Linked DNA regions of Ovis aries. The protein of the gene in region 2 interacts with the protein of the main gene of each other region in a biochemical or structural test. Links are inferred from orthologs where the notes say so. Each region holds a gene or a part of one and is shown on either strand. Other genes may lie near its edges.

What was found.
Region 1: the proteins of GNAZ (region 2) and RGS20 form a complex in vitro, tested with the Homo sapiens proteins (2 studies listed by BioGRID, with this or other methods). The link is inferred for Ovis aries from reciprocal best matches to the Homo sapiens genes GNAZ and RGS20.
Region 3: the proteins of GNAZ (region 2) and LRRK1 form a complex in vitro, tested with the Homo sapiens proteins (2 studies listed by BioGRID and IntAct, with this or other methods). The link is inferred for Ovis aries from reciprocal best matches to the Homo sapiens genes GNAZ and LRRK1.

Annotation. Positions count from the first base shown.
Region 1 is NC_056062.1:34,890,856-34,895,275, forward strand, and holds the start of RGS20 (regulator of G-protein signaling 20), read left to right. Parts: upstream 1-1,496; 5' UTR 1,497-1,570; coding exon 1,571-1,743; intron 1,744-4,420. UniProt on the Homo sapiens protein: Inhibits signal transduction by increasing the GTPase activity of G protein alpha subunits thereby driving them into their inactive GDP-bound form.
Region 2 is NC_056070.1:71,869,400-71,872,899, reverse strand, and holds part of GNAZ (guanine nucleotide-binding protein G(z) subunit alpha), read left to right. Parts: intron 1-2,559; coding exon 2,560-2,904; 3' UTR 2,905-3,500. UniProt on the Homo sapiens protein: Guanine nucleotide-binding proteins (G proteins) are involved as modulators or transducers in various transmembrane signaling systems.
Region 3 is NC_056071.1:4,887,322-4,891,043, reverse strand, and holds part of LRRK1 (leucine-rich repeat serine/threonine-protein kinase 1), read left to right. Parts: intron 1-301; coding exon 302-468; intron 469-2,752; coding exon 2,753-2,950; intron 2,951-3,722.

The DNA.
Region 1 (4,420 bases), on a different chromosome or scaffold from region 2:
CATCTGTTTACATAATTCACCCATTGCTAGTTTTTTTTTAAGAGCTCTTTATATATTCTGGATATAAGTCCCTTATTATGTATTTATGATTTGCCATATTTTACCCTATTTTGTGGGTGTCTTTTCACTCTTTTGATGATGTCCTTTGAAAAACAAAAGGTTTTCATTTTGATGAAATCCAGTTTGCCTGTTTTGTTTTGTTTTTTTTTGTCACTTGTGCTTTTTGGTATCATGTCTAAGAAGGCTTTGCCTCATCTGAGATCACAAATATTTTCTCCTAAGTTTCCTTTTAAAAGTTTTATAATCTTAACTCTTAAACTTGGGTCTATGATTGATTTCAAGTTAATTTTTTAACATGATGTGTGGTCCAACTTATGTTAGTTTTATATATCCATTTTAGGGGCCTGGGACTATGTTATGAAAGGAAGTTCTTTCAGTTCATAGTCCCCAGCAATGCATACCTGGGGTCCTTACCTCTGTACTCCTCCAGACCCAGCAGAAGCCACCTGGGCCTTAGATACCTTTGACCAAGGATCAAACCCAGGCCCCCTGCAGTGGAAGCGCAGAGACTTAACCACTGGACCACCAGGGAAAGTCCAATAATCTGATATTTATAAAGCACTTTACAAAAAGGAAGTATGATGTAGAAGCCAAGTTTTGACTTCATGGTTAGATGACTATCGCACAAGGAAATTACTTCAATTAATTCTGTGCTGTGCTGTGCTTAGTCACTCAGTCGTGTCCAACTCTTTGTGACCCCATGGACAGTGGCCCACTAGGTTCCTCTGTCCATGGGGATTCTCCAGAAAGAACAGTGGAGTGGTTTTCCATGACCACCTCCAGGGGATCTTCCCAACCTAGAAATCAAACCCAGGTCTCCTGCACTGCAGGTGGATTCTTTACCATCTGAGCCACCAAGGAAGTCCTCAATTAATTCTACAAGACATAAATAAAAAGTAATAATCTTTGAAGTGAAGTGTGGTTATGAGTTTAGCAAGCATTTCCAGCCACAAAGCTGACTGCTGCTAGAAGGACCTTTTACGAGACTGAGATAAAATGGCTCCTCTGCCTCTCGAGAGTATAGTCCAAATTTTTCACATATCACACACTACAAATGCAGAATATTACCACATGATTTATTTCCTTTATCACGATATACTAAGCAATATATCACTTGAATCATTTCTTTCAGTTTTGATTTAGCATTAAATTTGAAGTAGGAGTACATTGCTACCTGTAGAGCTGAGGAGCCTGATAGGCTACAGTCCATGGGGTCACAAAGAGTCTGACACAACTGAGCAACTTCACTTTCACTTCACTTGCAACCTGTAGAGGGCAGTCAGAACATACCGAGACTCTCATCCTGGAATAGAGCCCACGGACTGTGGATAAACTGCTGACCCACAACACAGATAATCCTCTTGCTTCGAGGGATGCGACTTTACAGGGAGGCCCCCAGCAGACGAAGCGATGGCCCAGCACCAGCCAAAGGAAGAGAAATAGAGTGGACCCTGGGCTGGTACCGTTAAAATCAAGCTACAGGATTCGATTGAGGCTTTATTGTAAAAACATGCCCAGGCTTTCCCAAGACAACCAACAGGGCCACCAGAAACATTTCTCCAGACCATCGAGGAGGATACGATTTCTGCCTCTGCCGTGGGCTGAGCCATATAATGTGAATGTTCACCAAACCGTGGAAAATGAAGGATGTGCCACAGCCACGCACAATGTCAAGGTAAGACCATCTCCCCAGTCCGTGACCGTTCTTGGCAAGGAAAGGGTTTATCCAGAAAGAATACAAAACCATAGGAAAGCTTTAGTGTCAGCGCTCACTTTACCTTATTGAAGATGTATCAAAAAGGCTTCCAAACTAAACCCAAGAGAAAAACTAGGACTTTGATAATAACCTGATTCTTCCAGTTTTCTCCAACATAAACAGCTTCCCTTTACAACAGCAAATGACTACATTTTGTTTGTTTCAGGAAGTAATGTCTTAAAAAGCAGAAAACCTAGCCATAGATTTCTATGGCTACTATCAATGCTTAGATATTCTGACATAAAAGTTATATCCCATATAGTAATGAAAAAAAATGGGCTTCCCTTGTGGCTCAGTCAGTAAAGGATCCACCTGCAATGCAGGAGATATAAGATATCCGGGTTCAGTCCCTGGGTTGGGGAGATCCCCTGGAGAAAGAACCCGCAACCCACTCCAGTATTCTTGCCTGGAAAATCCCATCGACAGAGGAGCCTGGCAGGCTATAGTCCGTGGGGTTGCAAGAGTTGAACACAACTGAGTGACTAAAACACCACCAATGAAAAAGTATAGATTGCTTTCCACCAAAATTGCTTGAGGGAAAAAAAAATTGGTAAAACTAATACAGGCATGAAAGACCATTTAGGAACTAAGGGTGTTTTTCCTAAAGTCATAGTTGCCTAGATGAATTTCTTAAGCATGAATTTCTATCAGTAGACAATGTGATTTCCCCGAAGAGTAACCATTTTCCTATTCAGCGTTGTGTGTATCTTTGCAGAAAGTACAGTTTAAGTCTGTCGATCCTCTTAACTATTAATAGAAACACCTCTTAAAAGGCTATTTAGTATGGAGGGGGATGGACATGTGTTAATGCCTGTGACCAATGATCAGAGCTCAGAAGTAAATGCTGATAAATTCTACAACCGCAGACCTGTCCAGATTCTGCAGCACTAGAAACTGTGCCTGTGCCTTCGCTCATATCCTCATAATAATCACGTATTTGCAGATTCTAATTATCTAGATCTGTCCTTTCCCCATAGTTTTTTTGTTTTATCTTTTGACTGCACCATGCAGCATATGGGGTCTAAGTTCCCAGACCAGGAATGGAACCTTGGTAGCATGGAGTTTTAACCATTGGACAACCAAGGAAGTTCCTCCCCAATCTTATTTTAACCAACTGGCACAAGGAGAAGTTGTTTGTTTGTTTGTTAAGTCATTGGGAAGCTTTTTCAATAGGAAGGTACTTGATTTCAGTGGTTCAATAGGAAGCTACACTTGATTTCAGTGGTTACACAAACCTTCTCATGTGTTAAAATTGCATAGAACTATACTCACCTGTCGGGCTTCCCAGGTGACTTAGTGGTAAAGAATTCACCTGCCAGCGCAGAAGATGTGGGTTCCATTCCTGGGTCAGGAAGATCCCCTGGAGAAGAAAATGGCAACCCCTCCACCACACACACACATACACACACGGGTGCATACAAACTTATGAAATCTGAATGAGCTCTTAGAATTATACCAGTGTGTCTCCTGGCTTTGATGTTGTACAATTTATGCAGTTTCCATTGGGTGGAACTGTGTGAAGAGTGTGTGGGACCACTGTGTGTACATTCTTTTGTGAAACTTCCAGTGAATCTATAATAATTTCAGAATTAAATGTGTAAAAAAAATCCTTCCAAAAGCAGGTTAGACTGAAAATAACAATTCATTTGTGTTGCATAAATGCGTTGTCTATTGTGGTTCTTCTTGCTATTCTTTTTTATTTGGATTCTTAACCAATTTCGTTAGGTCAGAAGTGCTGAGGTGGTCAAACCTTTTTTAGAGATGAGAAAGCATGTTTGTAAAAAACACTGTTACATGTGTGCAGTCAGCTCAGTGGTGATTCAAACCCATGTTTTTTCTGACACTGACTTCGTTACTAAGTCAATAGATTCTGGCTGTGCTTTAGAAGCAGGCTATAATTTCCCAGGCTGGAATCCAGCCTCCTCAGTAGTGATTTATCTGTGCATTCTGCCCAAAGAACCCAACAAAACTGCTAATTTACTACAAAATAAATTAACATCTCTCCACCTACACAGGCACACAGACAGACACACACTTATGAACTTGACTTCATTGGGATTATTTTTTCTCCACCAGGATTTCTGCTTCCTTCCATTCAGAGCACAGAGACCGAGTGGGAGAGGGGGTGCTCCCTGGACCAGGTGCTCTTTTTAGTGATAAAAGTGAGAGAGAGGAAACTTTACAGCCACCCTGGTGAGCAGTTATCTACCCATCCATCTGTCAGTACAGATAGATGCATACACATGTATGCATTCTTTCCCAGTAATAAAAGTGATCAGAGCTTAGACCAGAAAATTTTCCACATAAAATTATTTTTCACGTCCTTTTAATTGCTGTCCCTCTGAGAGTGCAGACTTTTAGGTGCTCTCCTGGTCCAGGTGTATGACCCCTTGAGAAGCCCATCAAAGCCCTTGCTGTGAGACATTACACACTGAAAGGAGAGAGAGAAACTCCAAGGCCCCCAAAGGTACCTACCAAGACAATGGAGTTTTTATGGCAAAAGCAGGGAGCAGAAAGAAGAAAGGAAAAATCTCTCAGCAAGAAAGAAATTAGGCTTCCAATATCCAGCACCATATACATATATATCGATGTATTCAGAAGACA
Region 2 (3,500 bases):
CGACATCCAGCCCTGGATGGACCCTCCCCGTTCAGCCCACTGAGCCAGGTGCCGCCAGGCGTCCCCGCTGGCAGCCCCCGCCCTCGGCGCCCTCGGTGCCTGGCACTGTGGTGAATGGAGCTCATTCACGCCTGCAGCCCAGCCTCCCCGCCTGAAAAGCTGGGTTCACGGCTCCTGAGAACAAACACCCCAGCCTGGTCCTGCAGCAGGCAACCCGGGGCCCTCCTGGGCCAGGACCTCATGCTGGGCTCCAAGGAGCCGAGCGAGCGCCGGGCCGCCTCCTGGCCACCAGGTGCCCCCCCCCCCCCGCCCCAGGACATCTGGCCTTGTGTCTCCAAGTCAGCACATGATGGCTGCTGCGGGCCCTGGTGCCCAGCACGGGGCCTCTCAGCTTCCCATGGGGGTCCCGTTCTGCCTCCAACCTCTGGAGGAGGGCGGCCGACAGAGCCCCCTTTGCCGGGGGAGCAGCGGGCCTGACACACAGCTGGAGGCTGGCAGAGCAGGATGCTGGCTGCCCAGGGAGGCGGGGGAGGTGTGAGGGGAGCCAGCTTGAGTGGCAGAGGGTGTGGGGATGCTGACGGGCCGGGCTTTCCGGGGCCCCTGGAGGGGCTGTCGGGGTGGGAGGAGGTGCTGGGGGCCCCCACAGACAGGTGGCCAGTGGCCCACACGCCCTGGCCCTCCATGTCCACTCCGCCTCCCCCCCAGAGGCCAGAGACCCCGCGAGCTGGCCAGGGAGGTACCCTCCCTGTGGGGGTGGGCGGGCCCCCGTTCCCTCCTGCCCAGGGCTGGTCAGACCGCACTCCTGTCAACGGGTTCCCACCCCCCACCACTGCAGGGCGGACCAGCAGAGCCCCAAGTGACCCCTCGGCAGGCGGGCTGGACGCAGGAGCCGCCTGTCTCCCCCCACCCCGGTGACCCAGCAGGGCCCAGATGCCTGGACATCCCAACAGCTGTTGCCCCCACCCCGCGCTGGCCCAGCCACCCTGGAGCCCCGCCACACGCAGGGCCCCCTGGCCGCTCGGCCTCCGGTCTCTGGGCTCCGGCACCCGCCCGCAACCAGAGACGTGCTCGGCAAGTGTGTGCTCGGTGATTGGTGAATACGTGCCCCTGGCCGCATCTGTTGTTTATTGTACGTGTGAGATCTGGGGTCGGGAGCACCCTGATTAAGACATCATTCCCGTGAAATGACAGACAGCTCCGCCACTGGTCCTTTCCACGCGGCTTCCGGGAACCCATTAGCGTTCGTTGCCACCCAGTGGCAGGCGGTGTTCCTGGACCACCAGCTACGGGGAGGGCGACTCCATCCTGATCTCAGACATGCTGGGGGCTGGCATCCTGCTTCTGTCTGGGGAAGGATCACCCCCCCAACACACACAATCACCCCCAACACACACACGGTCACCCCCAACACACGATCACCCCTCAACACACACGATCACCCCCCAACACACGATCACCCCCAACACACAATCACCCCCCAACACACACGATCACCCCCCAACACACGATCACCCCCAACACACACACACGATCACCCCCCCAACACACACCCTCCCCAAGACCTGAGACCAGGCTCTTTCTAACAAAAGCACAGGAAGGGTTTGGGAGACCAGCCTCCCAGGTGGAGCGCAAGGCCTGGAGTCTATGTCTCCGTGGTGAGGGGGTGGCGGGGAGGGGTGCCTTGTCAGCCCTGATACCATCGGACCCTGTACGTCCGAGAGGGCCAGGCCTCTGGGAGATGAGGGCGGCCCCGGGCACCCCCACCCTGGGGCCAGCAGCTCTGCACACTGCCCCGGAGGGTCAGCGAGCCCGGGGGCCTTGGAGAACATTTCTGGCCCCTCCCGGCCTCGGTTTCTTCATCCGCAGAATGGGGATGATAAGGTCGAGGGCGGTCAGCAGGGCATCCCTGTTCATTGCGCATGCTCAGAACAGTCCTTCACCCAACAGCTCAGCTCTAGACTGGCCCTGCCCTTGGGACACTCACCTTGTGCATCTTAAAACACAGGGCAGCTCGCCACCCGCAGGTGTCCCTTTAGGAGCAAGGAGATCAGTTGTGGGGGGCAGGGGGGAGCAGGTGAAGGCCCTGGGCTCCTCCAGAGCCCGCAGGCTGCACGCATATCCTTGGTTCTCTTGGGGGGGTGGAAGGGGCCCCCTGGGCCACACTGCAGTCACGGGGGCTCCGGGGGGCCGTCCTCACCTCCTCGGGGGCGGCGGAGGGCTCCTGTGTGTGGGGCACCAGGTGAGCACTCAGCCACCAGGGGCTGGGCTGGCCCAGCTCCGCCCTGGCACCTTTTAGGAACAGAGGCCTCCTGCACGTTGAGACTCTGTGAGGCCTGACGCCTGGCGGGATGGAGGCTCCCTACCGGCCCACCCTCGGCAGGCAGGGCTGACCACATGCTCGCTGCAGGGGGCTGTGGCATGGACGGTCTTCCGTGGGAGGCAGGGGCTGGCCTGTGGCGGGGGTGGGGGGGTTCCCCTGCCGGCAGCCCTGAAGGTGCGTGGGGTCCGCGGCCCCTGGGGGGGCCCGGCTGTGCTGACCGCCCCCGCCCCTCCCCCCAGAGCCGGATGGCCGAGAGCCTGCGCCTCTTCGACTCCATCTGCAACAACAACTGGTTTGTCAGCACGTCCCTCATCCTCTTCCTGAACAAGAAGGACCTGCTGGCGCAGAAGATCCGCCGCACCCCGCTGACCGTGTGCTTCCCCGAGTACAGCGGCCAGAACACCTACGAGGAGGCCGCCGTCTACATCCAGCGGCAGTTCGAGGACCTGAACCGCAACAAGGAGACAAAGGAGATCTACTCACACTTCACCTGCGCCACGGACACCAGCAACATCCAGTTCGTGTTCGACGCCGTGACCGACGTCATCATCCAGAACAACCTCAAGTACATCGGCCTCTGCTGAGGGGCCGGCGGGGCCCAGCCCGGGGCGGAAGGCGGGGGCGGAACGCGTCCCCAGCCCGCCCCCTCAGCCCCCGAGGCTCTGCAAACACGACTGTATACGGATAGGTTGCTAGGTAGGTAGACACACTTGGGCGTGCACACACACACGCGCACACACACACTCCCCGCAGACGGGCAGGCTCCCCGCCCGGCCGAGGTCCGTGAAGGCTTGAGGAGCTGTCGCCAAGTCCGCCCCCCAGTCCCCAGACCCTCCTGCCAAGTCACTCTGCCTTCCCGACGCGGCCCCGCTCCGCGCGGGGGGACCACAGGGCCGGGCGGCCGGCTCCCCGGGAGGAGACCCAGGGCCGGAGCCATGCCACCCCCACCGGCACACGCGGGCACCGGGCACCAGGCCGGCCACAGCACTGACTGGCCCTCCAGCCACTCACCGCCCTTTCAGACGCGCTTGGGGGACACGCAGCAAGCCGCACGGTGACCCACGTGGCGCGGCCCGCTGGGTTCCCGCTTTTCTCCTACGAGTTGGACGTTTTATAAAACCGAACCCTGGTTTTTTTCCTCTGATATCCTTTGTTTTTCGGAGTGGGGGGCAAATCTCCT
Region 3 (3,722 bases), on a different chromosome or scaffold from region 2:
CCAGTCAACATTCATACCTCTGAGACCATTGCTGTTATGAATCCACTTTCCAGAGGAGACCAAGGCTTGTTAAGGCTAAGTAACCTACCCAGAGCTGGCATTTATCCCAGATCTGTCTGACTGCCCCCCACTAGGTGGCTTTGAACCTGACTTTGCTCAGTGGGGACTGATAGCCAAGCATATTCTTGCACCTGCCCAGCCCAGGACCTGCCTCTGATACCCGGCGGGCATCTCTGGGGGAACATGGGGCAGGAGGGAGGTCTGTTCTGACCCCCCAGCACACACACGGTGTTTCTGGCAGGCTCTTCTTGGAGAACAGCAAGCTGGAGCACAGCGAGGATGAGAGCGCTGTCCTGGGCCAAGGTGGGAGCGGCACCGTCATCTACCGGGCCAGGTACCAAGGCCAGCCTGTGGCTGTGAAGCGATTCCAGATCAAGAAATTCAAGAACTTTGCAAATGCCCCTGCAGGTAAACAGGGCCCTGGGTTGTTTCTTTTCAGACATGTCTTCCCTTGGTCCAAACCTGTACCACCTTAGATGCCCAAGGCCACACAGGCAGCGGAAGAGGGGGGTGATGCCAGTGTGGGCCCCAGGGGTGGTCCTGCTTTCTGCCTGGTGAGACGTGGGCCAGGACTGAGCATCAGGCTGAACACGGCCTAGAAATTGCTTTCGGAGGTGACTTTCTTGTCTGACATGAGCCCCCAAGAGCATGGGCCAGCCTTACAGTTTCTATCTGTTGCATGTCCAGCACAGTGCCCACATGATGGGCACACAGTCAGACCTCAAGTGGACCGCTCGCCCTGGGGACCCACCTCCCCATGCAGTTACTAAGGGAAGGATAGTGGCTAAGGTTCAATCCCAATCCAGATGAATGGATCGGGAAGCCGTTGTGGGTAGCTTCTCCCTCACCCCCGCCCCTCCCGCCCTTGTCCACTCATCATGTACAGCTCAGAGGTGCTCCAGAGCCACCTGCCACCACCTAATGCCCACCAAAGGCGAGCATGTGGAGGCCTTCTACCTTCCAGCCGCTGAGTGTTGCATTTCTCGTGGCCCCTGGCCTAGCACGGTTATCATCATGATCACAGAAGGAATTTACGCTCGTGGTAGAAAAATCAGAATCGTGGAACAGTATGAAGAACCAGATTAGAAAGGAAGAGACAGAACTGTAGACGTGGGAAGAGAATGGAAATCTAAGAGGCTATTAAGCGTCAGAGCCAGTAAGAGTTTGATAGTTTGCTAGATGTGAGCTCAACATCAAATGTGGCAACAATGACCCATTAGACAATGCCTTCCGTGGCAGCCATTAAGCCACAAGGTATTGAGAAATAATTAATAGATGTCATTCAATTTAGTTCTCATCTAAACTCCAGCAGTGTGTGTGAGAGAGAGACAGAGAGAGAAAGAGAGAGAAATCTGACTAATTCTAAAATACATGTGGGAACTTTGCTGGTGGTCCAGTGGTTAAGACTTTGTGTTTCCACTGTAGGGGGCAGGGGTTCGATCCCCAGCTGGGGAACTGAGATCCTGTGTGCCGTGCAGCAGGGCCAAATAAATAAATTAAAATGGAAAGAAAAAGAAAATGCATGTGAAATGACAAACACCCAAGAACAGTCAGGAAAACTCCACAATGGAAGACAAAGAGCAGAGGCTTGCCCAGCAAACGTCCTGACTTACCAGGCTCCACATGCTAGGGCGGGGTACTCCTGGGCACGGTTGGGCCTGTCGGGAACAGACAGAGCCTGCATGCATGCGAGAGGCTGGCACACGACAGAGGTAACATCGGGAGTCAAGAGAAAGGCAGGCTGTTCATTAAACTGGGGCAGAGACTTCAGCCATAGTCAAAAATACATGATTAATGGTTTAAAGGCCCAATGTGAAAAACAACTTTTACACTTAAAAACAAATTTGTCTGGCTCACACATCCATCTGGCACAATCAATCCATTTTAACTGCCAAGATTCTCTTTCTGCTGTTGAAACTCCCATGTCCAGTGATTCCTGACTTTAAAATCTGAACAGGGGAGGGACAGATCAGAACCCAGGAGGACAAGCGGGCTCAGTGACCTCCGGGCTGGCCACAGCCTGGTGGGTGACCAGTGGGTGGAAAAGGCCCCTCGGGGGACTCAGGCAAACGCCTCCCACGTGGGGTGCACTGAGAGGGCAGTGGGAGGACGTTGCAGCACGGCCCACCGCTGCCCCAGACGCTCCTTCTTGGGCCTGAGACGGCCTGTCAAGGCCTGTGACTGCCCTGCGGTTTTCCTTCTGGCCGACACCAGGGTGGTAGTCCGCCCTGCCTTCACGGCCCCGGCCTCTAGGAGTAAGATGAGCAGCAGTGACCAAGCCCCCAGCATCCTTGCAGCTGAGCAGTAGGGGCTTGGTTCCTTGCCAGGCTCTGGGTGACCCTCAGGGCTGCAGATTTGGAATAAGATGCAGCTGAGAGCCTTAGGCGGCAAACAGCAGGCCGGGCAGAGGGCAGCAGAGTGGGTGACGAGGGCGGGGGTGTGCGACCCTCCGCGAAAGGGTCCGGGACACCGAGTGTAGCACCTGACAAGCATGGTGCCCGAGGAGGGGGCTTGATACTAGCCCGGATGCCTCAGGAGGGCTCCCATTTGGTGCCCGATTCTGGGTGACGGTACTGCAGCCCCCAGAGGTACAAGTCCTGGCCCCGGCCAGCCCCAGGAGTCCCCGAGGGGCGGCTCCGAGCCTGGCGGGGCCCCAACCCGGCTGGCGCTGACAGCCGAGCTCCCCCCACAGATACCATGCTGAGGCGCCTACAGGCCACCGACGCCATGAGGAGCTTCTCGGAGTTCCGGCAGGAGGCCAGCATGCTGCACGCCCTGCAGCACCCCTGCATCGTGTCCCTCATCGGCATCAGCGTCCACCCGCTCTGCTTCGCGCTGGAGCTCGCCCCTCTGGGCAGCCTCAACACCGTGCTGTCCGAGAACGCTAGAGGTATGCGCTGCACCTGGAGTCTTCCCCCAGGGGCCCACGGCGGGCAGCACAGGGCCCAGGGAGCCAGCCGGGGCCGGGCACAGCTGCCTGAGTCTCGTGGGCCATGCCTGGTGGAAACAGGAGAGCTTCTCCACGCCTAAGTGTCGGGCAGTGGCGTTGGCACCGCTGGAGGAGCTTGCCGTTTGGAGTCAGACAGAACTGTGTTCTGAGTCCAGGTTCTCTGCCATAATCTGGGAAGTTGCTTCATTTACTCATCCATCAAAGGAGGCAATAGCCCCCCTTGGAGGGCAGTGAGACCATCAAAGGAGGCAGCCCCTGGAGCCCTGAGCGGCAGAGCCCAGGAAGCCCGTGGCTGCTCAAGTCTCTCTCTGCCCACAGGGCTCCGTGTCCATCCACTGTGGTTAAACATCCGAGGCCCTGTGGTCAGTTTTAGCCTACATTATTTTTCAACAAAACTTTAGAACACTTACCCCTGCTAAAATTTTCTTTGAAGCAGAATGTTCTATGTTGAAAGGCAGAAATGAAACCAAGTGCATGAAATCTAACTTTTAAATCCTTCCTAGTAATAAATTTAACCATTTTTCTAAATGTTAAAGTATACTTATATAAGAAATAAATCATGAATCCAGAGGAAAAAAAAAAAAAAAAGAACACTTACCCTAAGAAATGGGTAACTAAATTCCAATGAGCTGACAGAGGGAAAGAGATAGCTATCTTTTAACTCAGGAAGAAGAAATGCAATTAAAATTAATTATTTCTCCTTCAACAGAAG